Ovis aries: one gene and its partners. The protein of the gene in region 3 interacts with the protein of the main gene of each other region in a pairwise test. Links are inferred from orthologs where the notes say so. Each region holds a gene or a part of one and is shown on either strand. Other genes may lie near its edges.

The links.
Region 1: the proteins of WWP2 (region 3) and ATN1 interact in a two-hybrid assay, tested with the Homo sapiens proteins (2 studies listed by BioGRID and IntAct). The link is inferred for Ovis aries from reciprocal best matches to the Homo sapiens genes WWP2 and ATN1.
Region 2: the proteins of WWP2 (region 3) and FBXL18 interact in a two-hybrid assay, tested with the Homo sapiens proteins (3 studies listed by BioGRID and IntAct). The link is inferred for Ovis aries from reciprocal best matches to the Homo sapiens genes WWP2 and FBXL18.

The regions. Positions count from the first base shown.
Region 1 is NC_056056.1:209,364,977-209,372,359, forward strand, and holds part of ATN1 (atrophin-1), read right to left. Parts: 5' UTR 7,316-7,383; intron 6,073-7,315; 5' UTR 5,912-6,072; coding exon 5,885-5,911; intron 5,632-5,884; coding exon 5,494-5,631; intron 5,357-5,493; coding exon 5,243-5,356; intron 4,551-5,242; coding exon 2,566-4,550; intron 2,415-2,565; coding exon 2,192-2,414; intron 1,827-2,191; coding exon 1,130-1,826; intron 241-1,129; coding exon 97-240; intron 1-96. UniProt on the Homo sapiens protein: Transcriptional corepressor. Recruits NR2E1 to repress transcription. Promotes vascular smooth cell (VSMC) migration and orientation. Corepressor of MTG8 transcriptional repression.
Region 2 is NC_056077.1:39,242,083-39,249,465, reverse strand, and holds part of FBXL18 (F-box/LRR-repeat protein 18), read right to left. Parts: coding exon 6,580-7,383; intron 3,508-6,579; coding exon 3,289-3,507; intron 1-3,288. UniProt on the Homo sapiens protein: Substrate-recognition component of the SCF (SKP1-CUL1-F-box protein)-type E3 ubiquitin ligase complex.
Region 3 is NC_056067.1:36,514,968-36,522,350, forward strand, and holds part of WWP2 (NEDD4-like E3 ubiquitin-protein ligase WWP2), read left to right. Parts: intron 1-40; coding exon 41-112; intron 113-341; coding exon 342-430; intron 431-2,507; coding exon 2,508-2,667; intron 2,668-3,897; coding exon 3,898-4,031; intron 4,032-4,258; coding exon 4,259-4,399; intron 4,400-5,100; coding exon 5,101-5,221; intron 5,222-5,547; coding exon 5,548-5,652; intron 5,653-6,799; coding exon 6,800-6,896; intron 6,897-7,076; coding exon 7,077-7,149; intron 7,150-7,383. UniProt on the Homo sapiens protein: E3 ubiquitin-protein ligase which accepts ubiquitin from an E2 ubiquitin-conjugating enzyme in the form of a thioester and then directly transfers the ubiquitin to targeted substrates.

The DNA.
Region 1 (7,383 bases), on a different chromosome or scaffold from region 3:
CTCCTCTCCCCAAGCCCAATAAGACTAATTCCAGCACCTAACTTCCTCCATTCTTTCTCTCCAGAGACCGTCCCCACCCCCAACCTCCATCCTTACCAAAGAGCTGGTGACGAAGAACTTCGTTCTCGTGCAGAGGGTGAGGAAGAAGGGGGTTGGGGAGGGTCCCAGCTGGGTAGGGGATCCGGGTAAGGTGAGACCCTGAGGCCAGGGGGTCAATGAGAGGGTGCACCGAGGCAGAGGCTGGAGGGTAGAGAAGAGGAAGGTGTCACCAGAAGGCAGGTTTGGGGAAAACCATGCATTTGGGTGAAGGGCTCCATGCCTGGGAAGAGAGGTGGACGATCAAACACAGGGTGATCCAGTGAATCAAAAAAGGCACAATGGAGGGGCTAGGGGTCTGGGAGATGGACAGCGAAAGACCCTACTGCAGGAGGGACAGATGGACGGATGGCAGAGGACAGGAGATTCCAGTTCTCAGAGGGACCTGAGGAATAGGGAGTGGACTACCGAGAAGAGATGGAAGAGAAAAGGAAGTTTAGGAAATGAGACAGGGAAGAACTTAGAGAGCACAAGGAGCCTGGAATGAATGTGACTGGAAGGCTAGAGGGGGCAGTGTTCTGACAATTAGAAAAATAGTAGAAAGACTCATTGTGAGTAAAGCTCATTGTCACTTGTGATCCCACAACCTGAGCCACAGGGCTTTCTAGAAGGTCACATATCTATAGATTCGGAGAGGAACATGAAACATCTCTGCCTGGATGGAGAAGATGGCAAGAAACAATAAAGCTGAACCCATAGGAGCAAGGAAATAGTTATGAGAAGGGCTCAGGGACAGGCTGTGAGGGGAGGAAGGTCACACTGCTTTAAAGGTCCCCACCTCTGGCTTCTACCATGGGGTGTGGGGGGAGACGCCAGACCTGAATGGGGCTGGGGTGTGGGGCAGGGTCTCTGTAGTAGGGCTGGGGTAGGAGGAGACAGGCTGGGGAGGCAAAGACCTGGGCAGCAATCTCAACAGAGCAGCTCAGGCCAGATGTGGGGTGGGAAGTCCAGGCCTGAGCAACAGAAGTGCGCAATGACCTTCTAGGATGCAAGGTGATCTCAAAGGGCCTGGCCAAGGACGAGGGAGTCTCACCTGCGTGGATGGCATCCTGCTGGTGGAGGTGCAGGTGAGAGTGGATGTGGGAGTGCTGGTGGTGATGGGGGGTCACGTTGAGCATCTGCAGCCGCGCCAGCGGGTCATTGCCCAGGGCGGCCACCCTTTCTGCGTGCTGCCTCTCAGCCGCCAGGCGCTCCGCGTAGGACATGTCAGGCCGCAGGGCGGGCCCAGCTGCCAGCGCTAGACGTTCTCTCTCCAGGGGCCCCAGGCTCGGATGGAAGGGGAAAGGGTGCAAGCCCGGGGGGCCAGGCTGCAAAGCCAGGCCCCCGTGTCGCGGAAAGGGATCCAGGCCTGGCCCAGGGACCCCATGTAGGGGCTCCAGCTCGCTGGGCTTCACCTCAAAGCCAGGCTTGAGGCGGTCACGCAGGTCTCGTTCACGGGCTTCCCGCTCCCTCTCCCGGGCTGCTGGGTCACTGCTGTACAAGGCCGGGACATTGTAACCCAGGAGCCCCGGGTCCACTGCCCCCAGGGGCACGTAGAACGGATGGTTGCGATTGCCAGGAGACATCACGTGGGGCCGGGCGTATTCGCTGAGGGTGCGTAGGGCTGGAGTGTCGGGGCCCAGGTAAGGGGGCACTGTAGCCACAGCACTGCCCGGCTCAAACGGAGGGCGATGGGGCACTGGGCCGAGAGATGGGCACTCCACTGGAGCACGGCCCTCCTGAGCCAACTTCTGTGGGACACAGGGAGACGCGGGGTCAACAAGGCAGGTCCCGGTCCTCAGCTGCTAATTTGTCTCAGCACCTGAATGCCTAAAGCCTCAGCTTACTGTAACTCGGCCTACCAGGGATTTCCCTGCCCCTTCTCTTCTACAGAGGAGAGATGCTCTTCCTACGATCCATGGGTACTCTGACCTGAGCTTACCTTTCTTCAGCCCAAGGATGCAATTCCTGCCGCTGGAATCCTCTGGTCTCCATTTCCTGGGTTGCCAAGGCTCCTCCTGTCCGACAGGTGGCGCATGGCCCCACCCCCTCGAACCTCCCTGAGTCGCGTAGAGGGCGGCCCCGAGGAGGGAGGCGCGCACAGTGACGCACTCACCACGCTGCGTTCCAGCTCGCGCTCCTTCTCGCGCTCGCGTTCCTTCTCGCGCTCCCGCTCGCGCTCGCGCTCCTTTTCTTCGCGCGCGCGCTGCTCGGCCTCGCGCCGCACCTTCTCTACCAGGTCGGCCCGTTTTTTGGCCAGCTTGGAGCCCTCCAGCGGCACGAAGTACAGATCGCTGCGCGCGCACGAGTTAAAGCCGCGGTCCAGGTGTTTGTTGAACCTGCCGGGCGCCGAGGTAGCGTGCGCTCAGCCCCTGCGAGCGGCAACCCCAGTGGCGGCCGAGAGCAGGGCCTGGAGTACTTTGAAAAGCATTACTCGAACGCAGGGCCCATCCCGCGCCCGCCACCCCCAACCCCAGCCCCGGCGCTCACCTGGCCGACTGGCTGGCGTGGCTGGGCACATCTACCACCTTGGGAGGGGGCGAGGGGCTGCGGGCCGGGGGCACCGGGCTCTCGGGGGTCTCATATTCCTCCGCCGGCTCCTGTTTGATCTGCGTGGCGCTCAGGGGCGGCCCAGAGGCGGCGGCCGCAGGCGGTGCGGGCAGGGATGACAGGCCGGAGGGCCCCGCAGGCGGCAGCGGCCCGGGCCCCACGGTGGGCGACCCCGGCTTGAAGGTCCCTGGGCCTGCGGGTGGCGAGGTGCCTCGGTAGCCCGGTGGGGTCCCCGTTCGGAAGGAGGGCGGCGACCCCGGCTTGTATCCAGGTGGAGTGGCTGTCTTGTAGGCCCCTGGGGACGGGGCTCGCTTGCCATACGGCAGGGGCCCAGGTGGGGAGGCTGTCTTGTAGCCTGCTGGCGAGGAAGCCACTGTAGCAATGACCGTGGAAAGTGTGGCCGAGGAAGTGGTGACCGGAGGCACCGGTGGAAAGGGGTAGGGCGCCCCTGGGGGGCCCTGGGAAGGAGAGGGGTGTGAACCTGGGTAGGACCCTTGAGAGGAGGAAGAGGAATTGGAAGAAGAGGAGGCTGGGGGTCCATTGGGACCTGCTTGGCTGTAGGACACCTGGCTGTGAGGTGGGGGCAGGTGTGCTGGCCCTGGTGGATAGGGTCTCAGAGACCCCAGGGAGGGAGACATGGCATAGGGGTGTGCATGGTGGGAACCACCGCTCTCCAGGGGGTGAGGATATGCTCCAGGGGGAGGGGGCCCAGAGCCCCCATGATGTGGTGGTGGTTGCTGCTGCTGTTGCTGTTGCTGGTGGTGGTGGTGATGTGTTGGGGCTGATGGGTGGGCTGTGGACTGGCCTCCAGCTGAAGGAGGGAAGGGACCTGGGTGGGCACTGCTGTTGGCTAAGAGGCGGCCATAGGGAGGAGGTTGGGGGGGACCCTGGCTCCACACAGCCTGGGATGGGAGAGAAGGCTGCGTATACTTGGGGGGCTGATTGGAGACAGAGAGACTGGTCGGGGGAGGGAAGGAGTGGGGATAACTGGGCAGTGCCTGGGAAGCGGGGTACTGGGAGGCAGAGGCAGAAGAACTGGAAGAGGCGGCTGCTGCAGAGCTGCTAGCAGAGGATGAGTAAGGATACCTCATTGGGGGGGCAGGGGCTGAAGAGGACGCAGGGGGCAGAGGATGGGGTGAAGGAGCAAGAGTGGGGCCCTTCTCCGGGCCAGGAGGAAGTCCACCCATGCTCTGCCCCATGGCATGAGGGGAGGGGAGATGCCCAGGTAGTGGCTGGGCCCCCAGGCCAGGAGGAGAGGCCGATGCATTGTTAAGGGGTCGAAGGGCAGGTGGGGGAGGCAGGTTTGGTGTCACGTGGGGGAAGGAAGTTGGTGGTGGCGCAGACGGTAGGTTTCCACCACCGACTGGAGTGTTAGGCGGCTTCGTTGAAGGAGCACCACCAGCCCCAGAGCTTGATATTGAAATGGGGGTGGTGGGTGGGGGGTGCTGCTTACCCCCACTAGGGGCCCCCACTGAAGAGGCAGCCCCACTCCCCTTGGGACCCAGTGAGGGTCCAGACAAAACCCCCCCACCAGACCCCCCAGGGTAGAGCTGTGGATGAGGGGGAGGGGCCCCTGGAGGAGTCTGGAACATCCGAGATGTGGGGGGCTCCATGGGAGCATGATATCCAGTGGGTGTCACAGAAGGGTGGGGTTCAAAGCCAGGCTCTGGCTGTCGGGGGGTGCCGTCAGGCGGTGGAGGGGAGGGAGGGAAGAGTGGAGGTGGGTGATAGGGGCGGGCGGGGCCCTGAGACAGGCCAGAAGACGAGTCGGAGTCATTCTCCACGCTTCCAGGGCTGTAGACGCTAGGAGACGTGCTCCGGTTGTCCTGGTCGATGTCCCTGGGGTCGCTGCTGCCATCGTCGTTGAGGCTCCGCCCATCCAGACTGTCCAGATCGGAGGGAGACTGGGGCCGGGCCAGCTCCTGCTGCACAAGAGGGAGAGCCATGGTGGCCTTTGCTTCTCCTGCCTCCCCTGGATTTGGGGCCTCGCTGGCACAGAACGATTTCCCATCGACAGCACACAACTGCACCACAACGGGAAGAGTACTCTTGCTCAAGCCCACCGCCTGGCCTTCTGGGGATCCTCCCCTCTCACAGTCTCTCTGCTGCTCCCTAGCAGGCATTCACCCAGTTCCTTCCTCAGGCATCCATCTCTAGCATCTCCTCCCATTCCACAGCTGAACCCAAATCCGTATCTTCCACCAGCCCATCTGCCATCCTCTCATCTCATCCACCCTTCTAATTAAACATCCCAGAAACCACTGGTTCTTAAGAAGACCGCTTCTGCGTGCTCTTTATGACTTACTTGTTCCTCCTACTGAGACTTCTCACCCTGGATCTCCTCCTCAGAACTTGCCTGAAAACCAGGCCCTAGAAAGGGAGAGCCTAGAATCCCCCATGCTCTACCCATTCCTCTTTGGCACTGCCTGGTCACCTGACACTCTGGCCAGAGCCCTAAAGATCTGACTGACATCCAGACAGGCCACTTCCATAAGCACTCAGGTAAGACTTTTCTCTCATATTGCAGACAAAATTAAAGTAAGAATTGTGAGTGAAAGAAAGTTTGGGTGAAAGAATGTCAAGAAAATGGGTCATGATGGCGACAAGGGTCTCCCACCTCAGTTTTGGTCTTTTTTGGTGCGTTGGTCTCCTCACTTTCGCTCTCTGAGATCTCTTCACTCCGGCCCTGCTTGCTGACCTTTGGGGTGGAGGCTTCCTCTACTCGGGCTTTCTGTTAGAAAGAAAGAAAATTCCTATCTTGTACTTCCACCAGTGCCCTCGGCCAGACAGGAAGCTCCCCACAACACACACATACACCATCAGCCCCAGTGCCCGGGCATCCTGTGGCAGGACGTGGGGACAGAATACCTTGGCCGTCTGCCTAGACTTCTCGGCTTTGCCATCGCTGCTGGACGTGCTGACCCCGCCAGGGGAGGCCCGGCCCCTCGGTCTCAGCTCTTCCCGGGGCCCGGGGGCCTCTTTCTTCCGTCCACTCCTCATTGACATCTGAGGGAGAAGGAAGTGAGCAGATGATGCGGTTTTCTACATCACACCTCACCGCATCCTGTGCCTTCTTTCTATTCCCCTCCAGTGGCTGTCGTGGAAAGATGGGGTTCAAAGCCAGGCTCGGCTGTCTGGGGAGGAAGCAAGGAGGGAGGAAAGAGTCGAGGAGGGTGGCCGGGGTGAGCAGGGCACTGGGACAGGCCAGAATCTTCCCTGACCGTGGCCTTCTGTGTCTTTCATTTTAGCTCCTACTCACTGAGTCTTTATTCTGTCGTGTCTTCATTCTTCAGGCTGTGGAGACCCCATTCTCCTCTGCCCGGGCAGCTGGATACAGAAACTTCTCTGCTTCACCCTAAGTTCCCCCCAGCTACAGCCTGGGAAGCAAGAAGCAGGCTCTCCGAGTTTTCAGCACCTGGAACTTGCAGGGTCTGTCTGCAGTGAAGCCTGTTGGAAAAAGACCATCAGAGTCTCCAAACTGGACAACAGAGCCTGAAGGGGGTACTGCTGCACTTGTCAAGGGGCTGAGTGGGCAGCCCGGCCATGACACACTGCTGGCTTGCCCATGGGCCGATCCAGCTTTCTGTGAGTGAGGGCAAGGTCATCCCCTTCATCTCTCGGGAAGGCAGAAAGCACAGGTGTTTCTATGCGCCCCAATTCAGGAGATCACACTACTTCCCCCTTGGAAATATATGCGCACACAAAATTCCACAGAGCCTTACAAAAGGAGCACAAAGAGATGTACCTGAAATATAAGCTGATTTATTGAGTGCCTTATGTCAAGCCCTTAGATGACATAAAGTCCAATTTCATTTCATGTTTACAACCATCCCTGAAAGTGAAATTCATTCAGTCGTGTCCGATTCTTTGCGACCCCATGGTCTATACAGTCCAGGGAATTCTCCAGGCCAGAATACTGGAGTGGGTAGCCATTCCCTTCTCCAGGGGATCTTCCCAATCCAGGGATCGAACCCATATTTCCTACATTGCAGGTGGATTCTTTACCAGCTGAGCCACCACGGAAGCCCAACCCTATAAAAGAGGTAGTCTTACTATTCCCATTATATAGGTGAGGAGACTGAGGATCAAAGATTGTGATTGTGACTTGCCCAACTTCACGCGATGAGTACACAGTGAGGAGCTAGACACAGTGCCAGAATCAAGCCCCATCCCCCTGACTTCCAAGCGCATGCTCTTTTTTCAGTATTTAGCTATACTCTCATCAGAAGTTGGTGAGGAGAATTCTCAGAAGGCCTAGATCAGTCTCTGAGATATGAAAAGAATCTTTCTTCACATTAGAGTAGGTGGGAGAACAATGTCCCATTCAACAGGGCAAAGGCGCGCAGCCCTACCAATGCCAGGACCAAACTGAGGTGTCCCCAAAGTGATGAACTTCAATTCTGAGTCTCATAAGCCCCCGCTCCAGTGCTAGTGCTTAGGTCCCCTAAGCGTGGAGGAAAACTCAGAGCTTTCACTGTACCAACCAAATCAGTGGAGATCACTGAGCAAACATTGAGTTTATACATAAGTAAGCCTGCCCTCCCATCTGGTTTAGACAGGGGCTCCCAGCTCCTCATAGCCAATCTATATACATCTATATGTTTCCTTATATATCCATATTTACATAGTCAGCAATTTTCATTTCCACTTGTGTTTCCTGCTAAGTGTCACATCTCTCCATGTTACTTACCATAAGATCTTTTGAGAGCAAAAATACTGTCTTCTTTTTATTTATTTTTGGTTGCCGCAGGAGGGCTG
Region 2 (7,383 bases), on a different chromosome or scaffold from region 3:
GCGGGATGGAACCCCAGCCGTGCCAGGGAAAGCCTGGAATCGTAACCGCTGGGCCTCAGAGGCGTGCAGGTGAGCGGGCAGATGCTTCAGTCATCCTCTGAGCTTGAGGCAGGGAACCGCGCGAGAAAAGGTGGCGACAAGCCCCTCCTGGTCATGATTCCGGGTGGAACGTGTCCTGCTGTGATGTCTGAAGCTGGCGCCATCACCCTGAGCCAAGGCACCACCTGCTGGGCACCTCGCAGAAGCGCAGCCGGGACCCCATGCCCCGCAGTAGAGGCCTTGTGGGAACACAGATGCGTCCTTCCAGCGCGGGTCCCGCTACACCTCCACCGCCTCTCAGAGCCTCGGTCTCGCCACTTGAGCTGGGGCTCGGGGCGCACAACTCACAGGGCTCTGGGGCGGCGGGAACCACAGAGGCAGGACATGGCAGGAGGAGCCCATGGGGGGGGCCACGCCCCAGCACGCACAGGGCTCCGGGCACCTCAGCCGCTCAGCGGGTCCGCGCCACGGCCCCAGCCTGCAGCCAGGAAGTCTACCCAGCCAACGTCGACCTCAGGCCTGGACACCAAGGGCAGAGACACAATGGTGAGTGGGGAGTGCCCCCCCACAACACCCGGCTGTTCTCCAGGCTCCCAGGTGCAGGCTGAGAGAAGAGGGCGTCACGAGTGCAGAGTCAGCTGTGAAGGCCAGGCCAGAGCCACCACAACGTCCTGTGGACGGACGGCAGACGGCATTAAAAGGGAATGTGTGCAGATTTAACAACACACAGAGACTCCCCTGATGGAGCATTAACTCAACAAAATCAGCACAAAGCCACATAACAACTCCATCCTAGAACTGCTGGCCACTTTCAAGGGGAGCTTCCACTTGAAAACAGCTTGATCCACAGTCTAAGTTTTTAGAAAGATCGTGAACATCAGGGAGGAGAAAACTCTTGCTAGGATTTCTCCTGAGAAAGGCGACAGCAAACTGCAAGGACCGGCAACCCCACAAGGACCGTGTGGTGGGGCGGCCTGAGCCCTATGACTCCAGAGACCTCCTGGCTGATGGAGCGTCTATAACTCTGTGCCCAGCCTGGCCTCTTCCGTCACATTTCCCCATCCGCGGGACATGGAGATCTGGGAGGGGGGGCTGGGACCCCCGGGCCACACTCGACGGCTACCAGGGGCACTGCCGTGGCACCACGTTCCCTCTCCAGGGGGCCTAAGCGCTTCATGCCCCTGGGGACCCACTCGGGGCAGACGCCCCTCCCCGGGAAGGGCTGCTCCAGGTCCACACTCCAGTCCTGGGGGCTGATATACGTTCCTGCTGGACCGGTTGTCAAACTCCAGGACCCGCTAGGGAAGGACACGGCCTGGTGTGTGAACACTGCACACCTTCTGCAAAGGCCCGGATGGGCAAGGGGGACACACAGACCCACAAGGAGGCAGAATCTTGAGAGCTCTCCACCCTTGCCTACAGCCCCTCAAACACCTGCTGCTTCTAAATCTGAACGAAGTGCAGACACATGGAAGGCTGGAGATTGAGAAGACGTCTGCACAGCCCACGGAAGCAAAAGCGGGACGTGGCTCCCTTTGTAAGTGTGCTCAGTCCCGCTAACCACACACCGTGAAACAGTCAAAGCCGTAAGCTTCAGGTTACGCGTATTTACAGATCTTTTAAAAATACCATCTTCTCTGGGTTGGAAAGATCCCCTGGAGGAAGGCATGGAACCCACTCCAGTATTCTTGCCTAGAGAACCCCATGGACAGAGGAGCCTGGCAGGCTATAGTCCCTAGGGTCACACACAGTCGGACACGACTCAAGCGACTTAGCACACTTACTGAAAAAAGAAAACTCTTTAGCATCGGGAAGGGCTTCACCAGGCCTGGTTGGCAGGCACACAGCCACCAGAGGCAACTGCAGTCAACCTGTCTTGAGACTTACATGCCACCCCCAACCCTGACTTCTCCAGTGTGCGCTGGAAGGCTTAGAAACCCCAGAAGGATCTCTGCACCTGACATAGTTGGCCCTCGCAGAGGACTCCAGGGACCAGGAGAACTTCTGGAGTGCCACAGAGAGCTTCCGGAGCACATAGGTGAGAGGTCACAGGAACTGGAGTGTCCCACCGGAGTGGACCCTGCCGACATCGCTTAACTGCTTCCCTACAAATTGCAGGCGAAGCCAAGTTCACCGTTTCCTGCTAGACCGACAGCACACACTCACTTGGCCAAAGGCAGCTGCCAGGTGCCCAGGTTAACACCCACGGCAGCAGCATTTACAGGAGTCTCTGAACTTTCTGCGCACGCAGGGGTCAGGTTCACGTCTGGCAGGTGCCCCAGAGATTCCCCGCAGCTGTCATTCAAAGCCCACGGAGCTGAGTTTTATACACCAACCAAAAGGCTTTGCTGCCTGCGTTCTCGGACCGGGGGCCAGGACAAGTGGCAGGTTTAAGAGGAAGCTTAGGGCGTAGGAGGGTCAGTAGGGGAGGTTGTTGGACCCACAGCCGTAACCTGAATCCACAGTGAACACGGATGGCAGGGAAAGCCAGTAGCGGAGAGGTGGGCCCACAACAGGCGATGGCACGGCAGCTGCACTGTGGGCTCACTGGCCCCAAGCACTGCCCGTCCCTGAAAGAGCCCCGCAGTAGGGCCCACCAGGAATGAGGGGATCGACCACCACCGAGGAGCCGCGACCCGGCAACGGGCATGGAAACGATGCTCCCCGGAAACACCACGTGGACTCACGGTGCGAGGACGCGCTCACCCAGGAGCCCCGGGAGAGGCTGGCGGCATCTCACATGGGTGAGGCTGTGGGCCAGGGGCTCTCCCAGCCACAGGGGAGCTTAGGCTTGGGATGGCCATGTAGGAGAGCACGCAGCCAGGCCACTCCTGGCCACGCCCATCACTTCTAGGAAACTGCACACTGGGGAGCGGGGTTGGGAGGGCGGGAATGAGCACCAGTCAGCAAACAGCACGGGGACAGAGCCAGGCCTCTGCGGCTCGAGGTGGAGGCTCCCAGGAAAGGGGGCAGAGACCCTCGTGTGAGGCAGGGCTGGAAGCAGCCTCCCCAGGCAACCAGCTGGCCCAGAGCTCTCCAGAAGACGGCCCATCAGGCATGACAGGGGCTCTGAAGCGAACCCGTGCAGAAAAACGACCTGAGGGGGAGACAACACCCGGAGCCTAAGGCTGCAGGGTGACGGTGGCACCGTGTGGGTTCCGGGCTCTTCTCAGCTGTCCCCCGGGGACTCCTGAGAAGCCGGAGGACGAGGAGGAGGGTCCTGCCGCCTGTGAGGGCCCGCGCACTCACCTGCGGAGGAGGGCCTGCTGCAGGCTGCGGCAGGTGCTGAGCGATTCGCCGGTGAACAGATGGCATACCACCACGCGCAGGCAGCGCGCCATGAAGGCCAGCACGGCCTCGGGCTGCAGCGTCCCGCTGCGCGACACCAGGCAGAGGCGCTGCAGCGCGGAGCACTGGCTCAGCGCCTGGAAGAACTGGGCGTTGGCGCTGAAGTAGGGCTGCTCCAACCTGCGGGGAGACAGGACACGTGGCGTGAGACGGCGGGCGATGGATGTGTGTGGAGCGGGGCTCCTGTCCGGGGGCCCACAGGCCCAGCAGGCCCGCTCTGCGGGCTGCACTGCCTTCTCAGAGTGCCTGAGAGCCGGGAGGATGGGGAGGGGCATAGGGGCCAGCTGCACCGGGCACCCGGAAGATGCGCTGCAGCCCCACCCCTCGGGACCTGCGTGGGCTGTGGGGGAGAGGGCCCTTGTTTGGAAGCAGGGTCTTTGCAGACACAAATGACTTACGATGAGGCTCGCAGGACTAGGGCAGGAGCTGGTCCGATGGCCGGCCCCTCAGAGGCCAGGAGACAGCACACGGAGGTGCTCTGTGGCAGCCGGGGTGCACTGCAGGGACGTGCCCACGGCCCCAAGAATGTTCACACCGCCCGCAGTCGCCAGAGGCCGAAGGGCAGGCCTGGCACAGGCTCCCACCCACCTTGACCTGGGGCTTCCGGCCTCCTGACTGTGAGAGGATGACCCTTTGTCTTGGGTGACCCCGGTGGTGGTCGTTTGTCAGGGCAGCCCCAGGACACTGGCACAGAAGCCCGGGGCAGGGAGCTGGGGCACAAGCAGAGTTAAGATCGTTTCCTGGTAAATCACACAGGAAGACCTAGACGGCCTTACAGACAGGGGTCAGCGTGGATCCGGTCCACCTGAAAGCTTCCCACAAGGAAAACTGTTAATGAGGGTCATCCCTGGGGATCAGCACCAGGCCCCAGTGGTACTTCTCAGACATGCGTGGCTGTCGCCTGAGCTTTGACAGCTCACTGACTGTTGGGGGAGTCCACGGTCACCTGGCCCGAGCCACTTCAAGGCTGGCGACACAAGAGGGAGAGGCCGGCCAGAGACGTCCGCCCAGCGTGGGCAGAGGGCGCACAGGCGCTGCGGCAGGCGAGGAGGAGGACTTCACGGGGTGATGGAGATTCGGGCACATCTGTAGGAAACTGCAGCTCAGGGAGCTACATCTGACCCCTATGACCGACCAGGAGAACATTTTAAAGGGCGGCGAGTGGGCACCAGCCAAGGCTCCCTCTCAACCAGCCACCCAGGCCTCTGATGGCCTTTGTGCGGGCCGTTGTGGGCCCTCACCCTCCCTGTTAGCACGAGGGTGGGAGGAAGGCACAGGACAGCCCTCGGCCAGGCCATGCCTGCACTGTGGGGACACCGCCACACCTGGGGTGACACAATCCTGAGCCCTCTGGGTCCAGCCGCCCCCACCGCCAAGGCCCAGGCACTGCACAAACCACGCCCTGCATAAACGTGGTGTAACACCGCCACACTCGGGGTGACACAGCCCTGGGCCCTCTGGGTCCAGCCGCCCCCACCGCCAAGGCCCAGGCCCTGCACAAACCACGCCCTGCACAAACGTGGTGTAACACCGCCACACTCGGGGTGACACAGCCCTGGGCCCTCTGGGTCCAGCCGCCCCCACCGCCAAGGCCCAGGCCCTGCACAAACGCGGTGTAACACCTGGGACAGACGCAGACACTCTCGGTGAGCCTGGGAGGCTGGCAAGGCCTCCATCAACATGTGAGACCCAAAGGGAACCCCGAAAGGCCCGTCTTGCCCAGTAAACTGAGAGTGACTTCCTGGGCAGCCCCCAAGAAGCTGGTCTGCAGCCGGGGGCTCTCGTCATCAAAGGAGAGGCTTCCAGGACAAGCAGCAAGAACCACTGAGCCCGCTCCCCTCAGAGGCAGTGGGTCTCTGCTGGGAGCAGAAAGCCTCCAGGCGTCAGGAGAGCCTGAGCGCTCTGAATGCAGCGACGCCGTGGGCGAGGCAGACATGGGGAAGGGGCTGTCTTCCCCCTCCCCAAACGAGAGCCTGAGGGCCCGCACTCAGCCTCCTGATGCCCAGGGACACAGACAAGGCACAGGATGGAGAAGGGATTTTAAAACCAGGTCTGAGGTGATGGGATGTCTGTTCAGAGCCATCCCAAACGGGAGCCACCAGGCCCTGAAATGAAACGCAGCAGGGAGCTGGGGGCTTTAATCACATGTAGGTAGAAGTCCTAAGCTCCTAAAACGGTGGGGAACGGGGCTCCTTCTGCGCGTGATTCTGAAAGACCTCACGTTCTCTCCGGGTCCGGCAGGAAGGAAGCCCCCTGGGGCAGGGGAGACAAGCCCTGACCCAGCACTGCTGGGCTGCAGTCACCCCCCAGCCCAGCCCTGGCCGCCTGTGGGACGGCCATGCCGCCAGCCCGCGACAGACACGCTGCGGCGCCGCGGTCACTAGGTGGCGACGTGGGGCCCCGCTTCCTACTGGGGATCTCGCTGCTCAAGCAGCAAAGAGGACAGTGCGCAGGCCACACGGACTTCTCAACGCTTTTCTCTTTCCTTAATGTGCCCGCCACCCCCAGGTCGGTCCCCAAAGACGCCCGTCACAGGTGTTCACAGCAGGTGTGGTGGGCGTGGGGGGCCCATCCACTCCACCTGCGGGTGGCCAGCACTGGAGGGCCAGCCAAGCTCAGTGCATGTGACCAGCAGTGTCTGCAGCCAGGCACCAGGGCAGAGGAGGAGGAAGGGGCACTTGCCATGATTGATTGTGCCCTGGGGCGGAGTGTGTGGGCGCCCCGCCCGTCGTCCCTCACCCTTCCGCCCAGTAAGGATCTGGCCTCCACAGCTTGCTCCGTGAGGCTCTGTGGGCACAGGCAGGGGCTCAGACTCCCCTCACCGTCTGCCCACCTCTTGGGCCCCTCTCTGACCAGTGCCTGAGCCTCTGGGACACAGGCATTCAAACAGCCAACGACGAGGGCGATGTCCCAGCCTGGGCTCAGAAGCACGGCCTCCTGTGTGCTCTGCCGGGATGCCACCAAGCGCTGTCGCTCCAGCCCATGCCTACAGACCCCCCACTACACACTGTCAGACCCTGGTCAAGCCCCCAGCCCTCGAGACTCTCAGGCCTGTGCCCTCTGTCTCAGCAGGCACGTGGCAGGAATGCAAACGCTTGCCGAACTCAAGGCTGCACTCCACACCCCCCTCTGTGCCCTGGAGGCCACGGAAGGGCCCGCAGGGGCCGCGGAGGGGCGGCCGGGCCCCCTCACCTGAGGTCCTTCAGCCGCTTGCAGTGCTTCAGCATGTCCGAGAGGCCAGACATGTAGACCACCTTGCCCATCAAGCCCAGGTGGGCCAGCGAGAGCGACTGGAGCTGCTGGCACTGCAGGCCGATGCTCACCAGCCCCGAGCCCGTCAGGATGCTGGGCAGCTGGGCCAGCGTCAGGTGCCTCAGGAAGGCCAGCTGGCCGATGGCAGCCACCTCCGCGTCCCCGACGCTCTGCGCCCGGCTGCAGGGAGGCAGGGAGTTGCGGATGGCAGGCTCATTGCGCGGCATGGCGGACGAGAAGTTGGAGCCGATCAGTTCGAGGCGGTCCAGAAAGGGCACGTTCTTCAGCAGCGACCAGAACACCGAGGACGGCTGGGGGCCTGCCGGCCCAGGGAAGGGGACGGATGGCACGCCGATGCGGACCTTCTTGCCGAAGCCACGGGGCACCGCACGCATGGCGGGCGGGACAGGCGCGCGGTCGGCCCGTGGCGGGGAGTCGGCCACGGCGCAGACGGGCAGCGATAGGGAGCGCAGGCGGGGCAGCCGAGCCAGCAGCTGGCACAGGTGCTGGCCGGGGCCCTCGGGGCTGTGGTGGTGGGCGGCTGAGAGGTTGAGGTGCCGTAGGTTGGGGCAGGCCACCACCAGCGCCTCTAGGATGGCGGGGTCGATGTCGTCCTCTGCCTTGCGGAGCAGGCAGTCAGGCGCCAGGCAGTGCGCGCAGCCGCTGAGGTTCAGGCCTGCCAGGCTGCGCAGGTCCCTGCCGCCGTCGATGACACGCTGCAGGAGGTGGCCGCCGGACAGTGCG
Region 3 (7,383 bases):
ACGCCCCAATTTGAGGTCTCTGTTTTCCTTTTCTTTTCAGTCAAATGCTCTCCCCAGCCACGTGAAGATCAGTGTTTCCAGGCAGACACTTTTTGAGGATTCTTTCCAACAGGTTAGAGAATAATCACTGAGTCTAAGACCCAGGGCAGGGAGAAGGCCCGCTGCTACCACCCTGTCTTCTCTTGTGTGGCCCTTTAAGCCCACATGATACGGTTTTCAAGACGTGGGCCTTGGTTATGGGGAATCAGCCGAAGAGCAGGCCTGGGAGTCCCTGGTCGCCTGCCCCCAGCCTGCCATGGAAGGGAGAATGGCAGGCTGGCCATGACCTTCTGTCTCCCCAGATCATGAACATGAAACCCTACGACCTGCGCCGCCGGCTCTACATCATCATGCGTGGCGAGGAGGGCCTGGACTACGGGGGCATCGCCAGGTGAGCTGGGAGCCCCAAAAGGCCGTGCTGCTCCCTGCTTCACCAAGCTGCAGGGCACTCGGCCAGGAAGCTGCCTCCTTGCTCAGACAGTTGCCAAAGCTCTCCTTTACCTTCAGGAGTGGGCAGGGGTGTGGGTGGTCCAAAGGGGTGCTGGAACTGGTTCCTGGGGTCCCCTTCTGGGCTAGGCATCAACCCTCTAATTGCTGGGTCAAGGGGAAGCTGGGGGTTGGTTTCTAGGGGAGCGGTTCAGGATGATGGCTCTTTTAAAAATTTTTTTAATTTTGTATTGGGGTATAGTCAATTAACAAACTGTCGTGATAGTTTTAGGTGAACAGTAAAGGGACTCAGCCGTCCATGTACGTGTATCCATTTCCCCCCAAACGCCCACCTCCCATCCAGGCTGCCACATACCATTTGAACAGAGTTCCATGTGCTGTATAGTAGGCCCTTGTTGAGAACAATAGTTCTTTGCCAACCAACCTGTCATTATTTCTTTATTTTACCCATCTAGTTGCACCAGTGGGCAGTGGTTAGATATCGGTATTAAGTGGTTGTCCGTTGGAATCGACCCTGGACTTCACTTCCTCTTGAGGCAGCTGGGGTGGGCTCAGTTGGGGGTCTTGGTGTAGATCTGGCATATATACATTGTGTCCCAATCCAGAGGGTCTTGATAAATACTTGGCTGCATGTCATGTACACAGTGACGGTAAAATGAAAACAAATGGTATACTCCTAAAAAGAACTCAAAGCATTGTCTTGCCCTCACCCCAGTGCTGCTACAAAAGTTAATAGATTCTCTGGCAAAATGTTGCCTTGGATGATGGGGCATAAGGGCCCCGGCAGAGAGGAGGAGCGTCTTGGCTGTGGTGACCGCTCAGCCTGCCGACCTCTCTTGGTGTGGGACATCTTCTCGCTTGGTGTTGGGTTAACTTGCTCCCGGTCCTTTGTGTGCTGGTGGCGTTGCCCTCTGTGTTGGCCCCCGTGGGTCGATTGCTCTTTTTTTTCCGTGGTGACCGTGGTGACCTCCTCTCTAGGCTCTCCTTGGTGGTGTGGCTCCCGCCCCGTGTGTGTCTGTCTCTCTGTGTCCTGCCAGTGGTTTTACCCTATGGTAGGTTACGTCATGCTGTTCTACCACAGGGTAGAACCACGGACAGGATACCGGGGCACCCTCTGCATCGAAGAGATTCCTCGTCTGCCCGGCCACAAACAGCCCAGCAGCCAGGGACTGCCCCCCTTGGGACGTCCCCCTGCTTGTGTAGCTCAAGCCTCAAAGGACTCTGAATTCTGGCTTGAAGCTTGTACCTGGGGTGCAAAGAGATGCTAAGGTGTGGGCGTTGGTTCAGATGAGTTCGTGGACATACAGGGAAGGGTATGGTGGTGGGTCTGGGGTGAAGGGGTGGTGGGGTGGTGGGAGCGAGGTGTAGACACAGCCTGATGAACAGAATTGTCCCGCATCAAGGATTAGGAGCACATTACTGTGTATTCGTATTAGACTGCTTAGGTAGGCTGGAAGCAGGGTGACTGCTGCTCATAGAGCCCTTTTGCAAGATTTAGAAAAAAAGTGTCCTTTCTCAAGACACTTCTGTGCTGGAAAATGGTCACAATATACTGCTTTTATTAGGAAAAAAAAGGCAGCTTGATGCTATTTGCAGGAAATTTGTTGTGACAAATGTACACATCTGTCATATTTTAACGTCACACCCTTGTGCAGTGTGCAGTCTATACAACTGTGCATGGCAACCCAGAATGGCGGAGCCCCTTTGCCATTAGATGCTCTGGATATCAGGCGGAAAGCCCCAGAATACCACACCTGGAGCCAACACTCACACACACGGGTGTGCCTGAGCATTGCTGTCCAGGGCAGTTGCTGTTCTGATTCACCCTAGGTCTGGCCCTGCCCTGTTCACTGACCAGCTGCTCACAGAGGTTAGCCCAGGGCTGATCCCAGTGGGGCTGCCTCCTCAGGATGCATGTCTCCAGACTAGGTACTACTTGACGGCAGAAAAGACTCGGACCTGCAGAGCAGGTGAGCAGGGTGTGGTCCATTAGTCCTGTTTTCCTCTCTCTTCTCTCACAGAGAGTGGTTTTTCCTCCTGTCCCATGAGGTGCTCAACCCCATGTACTGTTTATTTGAATATGCCGGGAAGAACAACTACTGCCTGCAGATCAACCCTGCCTCCTCCATCAACCCTGACCACCTCACCTACTTCCGCTTTATCGGCCGATTCATCGCCATGGTAAGATTCATGGCTGTCGTCAGACCTCCAGGGAGTGTGGTCACAGACCTGTAGACCACCAGCAGCTCTGGAGACTGGGTGCCCACTCTCTGAGCCCCACCCTCATCCTTACAGAACGCCTCACTAAAGATGCAGAAAGCTAGTGAGAGTTCTGGAAATAGTCCAGAGCTCTCTCAGTGCCCACCCTAGGGCACTGAGGAGGTTTTCACGTTGATTTGTGTAGGACTTGTCAAGAGAAAGCCCAGGGTCCCCGGATTAAAGTCTTCACTTAACACTCAGTGCATGTGCTGTCAAGGGTGGGGGATGACGGGCCCGTCTCTGGGTGTTGCCATGAGCTGGGTGGCGGTGTCTGGGAGTGTCCCACTGAGACTTGGGCCTTCTGGAAGGGGATGGGGAATCTACACTAGCTGAGAACAGGGAGCAAGGTGATCGACTGGTGCAAGATGTTGGAGTCATCTGGCAGGAGGGAAGGGCAAGGAATGGGGAGTCGGGCGTTTGTATTTATGTAGAAACGGGAGCACAGTGTAAATTTGGAAAGGGCGTCACCTCGTGTGCATCCTGTTGAGTACCTCGTGAGCACTGAGACCCAGGATGGAGAAAGGGGAGCCCTTTGAAGGCCCGGTCCCTCTGCCACATTTGGTCGTTGAAGAGCTTTCACGGCTAATTTGCCTTTGCTTCTTCCCCTCACTTCCTGAGTGAGTGTCTGCCCTGCTCCCCTCTCAGGAGGACCCAGGAGCCCATGACTAAGTATATTCCTTCTCTTTGTCTGGAGGTTCTTGGCCAAGGTGCTAGGGCTCAGGAAGTGGGCACATTCTTCCCAGGTCTAGAGACCCGCCTGGCCCTGTGGCTGACAGGACAGACCAGTAAAACCCTAGACTATTACTCACTGCTGGCCCGCCAGCAGCAGCAGGGGTGTCTGCATTATTTTTGGCTGCCTCTGCTGCCCAGCTCGGAGCAGCAGTGAGTCAGGGCCGCCACCTGGGGCTGTGCTGAGCGAGTCTCCTCTGTGTGGGTGGAGGTAGACCTCTGCTAGAGCGAGGGGCTGGTGGGCATGCAGTGGGTCAGAGGTGGGTCCTTGTGGTCTGCAGGTGGGACCAAGAGGGCTGCAGACCTAGCCTTCAGGCTCCTGGGAGAGCTGGATGCTCAGGACCTCAGGGAGCAGTAGTTGGGCTCTGATATGGGGCATCTGAGGAAAACCAGACCTCTCTGCCATGTCTCTTCTGTCCCCAGGCTCTGTACCATGGAAAGTTCATTGATACAGGCTTCACACTTCCTTTCTACAAGCGGATGCTAAACAAGAGACCAACCCTGAAAGACCTGGAATCCATTGACCCCGAATTCTACAACTCTATTGTCTGGATCAAGTGGGTCCCCTCTGTTGCCGTTTGCTGGGAGAGGAGGGGTCTCTGGATGGGTAGTAGGCGGGTGGAGATGCCCAGCTTCTAGGTCCCCCTGTCCTGGGACGCTGTTCTGGGCTCCAGGCCACCTGTGAGTCCTCGTGTCCCACCGGCACTGAAAGTGAGTGACGGGGCAGGACGGAGGGAACCCTTCTAAGACAGACACCTTCCCTCTTGGTCTCTTGTGCTCCCAGAGAGAACAACCTGGAGGAGTGCGGCCTAGAGCTGTACTTCATCCAGGACATGGAGATCCTGGGCAAGGTGACGACCCACGAGCTGAAGGAAGGGGGCGAGAGCATCCGAGTGACAGAGGAGAACAAGGAAGAGTACATCATGTGAGTGGAAAGCGCTAGGGAGCCGGTGGGGCCTGGGAAGTGGGGGCAGAGACACAGCCGGCCGCAGAGAAAGAGGCTCACACCCTTATCCCAGGGCACCATCTTCAGCTAGGCCCCCTCGTGTGGCCCATGGGTCTCCAGGGATGGGAAGAACCTTCCGTTTTGCACTGACCCTAGACCACTGCCGTGGCAGTCATGTGCTGGCCAGAGCTGGGTAGCCAGAGCCCGAGGCCCTGTGTTCCAGCCCCCGGGTGCTCCTTGTTCCCAAGTTGCAGATTCATGACTGCAGGACAGAATTTCTTTGAAGAGGCATAAAAGTTCGACAACTCCTTCTTTGTTCTCCTAACTGAAAGGGCACCTGTGTTCTGTCTACTTAAACCCACTGTCACCTGTGGGATTGTACACGAACATGCCTGTTCACTTCAGGTCCCTTGGGCCAGTCTTTTAACCCCCGTTCATCTGAGCTTCAGTGAGCGGTGATGGGAGGAGCAGGAGGAAGAGATGTTGAAGATTCAGGTGTCTGTGGGTTACTGTGAGGTTTTAAAGGCTGTGCTCTGGGGCCGAAGTTGCCCAGGTATCCCGCCCCCCAGGTCGGCTCTCGGCTGCCTCCTTGCTGCCAGCAGAGGCCACCTCCCTGCAGACCCTGAGCTGCTCCAGAGGAGTGGGTCTCGGGCTCCGCCGACGGTCAGTCTTGGTTTCAGGCTGCTGACTGACTGGCGTTTCACCCGGGGCGTGGAAGAGCAGACCAAAGCCTTCCTGGACGGCTTCAACGAGGTGGCCCCCCTGGAGTGGTTGCGCTACTTTGACGAGAAAGAGCTGGAGGTGAGAGCTGAGTTTGTGGGGACCCTGAACCCCTGGGCCCTGGGGCCGCCCTGCCCTTTGATAGCCTCGCCGAGCACCCACAGCAACTCACCAGTAAAACCCAGGATGGCAGCAGCAGGCACATACGGTCAATTTGGGTCTTGCACCTGCCCTTACATGGGCTCTTGTTTGCAAGGCGTTATCATGCAAGACTTGGGCTACCCATACTGTTAAAACTGCCGGCAGAGGTGTGCGGAGTGCTTCCACCTGCCAGGGAGTAGACGGGGCCCTGTGTGCCATGGGGACAGCGCTGGTGCCGGGTGCCTGACACCCCCTCTCCTCCGTAGCTGATGCTGTGCGGCATGCAGGAGATAGACCTGAGCGACTGGCAGAAGCACACCATCTACCGGCACTACACCAAGAACAGCAAGCAGATCCAGTGGTTCTGGCAGGTGGGCCCTGCGTCTGTCCCCACAGAACGCACGGGGGCTCTGGGCGGGCGTGTTTGGGCGGTACCCCCAGGAGGCGAGACCAGATTGAACCCCAGGCTTTTGGATGCTTGTTGTGTCATCACCTTCCTCGTCTCTAACACTCTCCTCGCCTCCCCCAACTCCCAAAAGGAGACGAGAAACCCAGCCTTGGGACGATCGGAGCTGGGTTGCGGCCACTGCATTTGACAGGAGGTAGTGTTGGCAGTGGGCCAGCCTCAGATGCTGGTGTGCGGGCTGTGGGGGAGGGGGCCGTGAGCAGGGAGGAAAGTTCTTGTAGGTCACGTGGTCTCCTTCCAGCCGGACGGAAAGCGTGGGCTTGGCTCCAGAGAAACTGAAAGAGCCCCTTGTCCTGCATATAAGGAATCAGTTGCTTTGAATGTGCGGGTCTTGTCGTTATCATTGTGCAGTATAGCATACATAAATGAGCAGAGGTAGGCTTTCTGTTTAGGTGGAGTTCACATACCATAAAATTCGCCACATTAAGTGTTTGGAGTGGCTCTTACAATGGTTTCTGACAGTGTTGTACCCACCATCACCACTGTTGAATTCCAGTACATTTCATGTCCCTCAGAAAGAAATCTCACACCTATTAAAGCAGTCAATCTCATGCTTTTATGTTTTTAAAGATGCAACTTGGGGGACTTCCCTCGTGGTCCAGTGCTTGAGCGCCCACCTTATGGTGCAGGGGCCGCTGGTTCAACCCTGGGTATGGGAGCTAAGATCCCGCATGCTGCAGGGCAACTAAGCCTACCGGCCACAACTGGAGAGTCCGTGTGCCACAACGAAAGATCCTGCATGGGCAACCAAGACCCGATGTAGCTAAATACATACATATTTTAAAAAAAAAATGGAACTTGGCTGAGGAGGAGAATTTCTGGCCTGAAACCAAGAGATGTCACATAGACTGGTGGGAATGATGTATGCACACAGCCTCTTAGAGCGGCTTTGGGGTTTCCCAGGGAGTAACTGTCACCCACTCCCACAGACCACGCTGGGGCTCCATGTTCTCAGCCCCAAAGAGGGGCCCTGGCTCATTGCAGAGTTACAGGTCAGTGCAAAGTGCTGGGCCAAGTGGGCCCTGACTCTGCCTGGGCTTGTGGGGCTCCAGGTGGTGAAGGAGATGGACAACGAGAAGAGGATCCGGCTGCTGCAGTTTGTCACTGGGACCTGCCGCCTGCCTGTTGGGGGATTCACTGAACTCATCGGTACGTTTTCCCCGCCCTGCTGGTGCCGTTGGGTGGAAGTGAGGACAGCTCAAAGCAGGGACAAGACCTCCTGTCTTCCTGGAAGCAAGCCAGTGGGACTTGTCTGTGGTGGTGTTGGAGGGTCCTGCCTCAGGAAGGGGCCGACTTGTCATAGACAACATGTGTTCCTTTGGATAACAGGTAGCAATGGCCCACAGAAGTTTTGCATTGACAAGGTTGGCAAGGAAACCTGGCTGCCCAGGAGCCACACCTGGTGAGTGTGCTGGTTGTGGGGGGAGGTGGCTGGAACCCAAGACCCGATGAGCCCCCAAGAGCAGCCCTGAGGCCAAGGCGGCTTCAGTGCCTTGATCCTGGCAACCTGTGTGTAGTTCCACGGTGCTTAGGTTTGGGGAGGCACACCTCAGCCCCTGAGCCTCTGATCTTTTGGGAGTTGTGACAGTATCTATGTGCCTTGACAGCCATACCGGGTATGAAATACAGTAAGTCC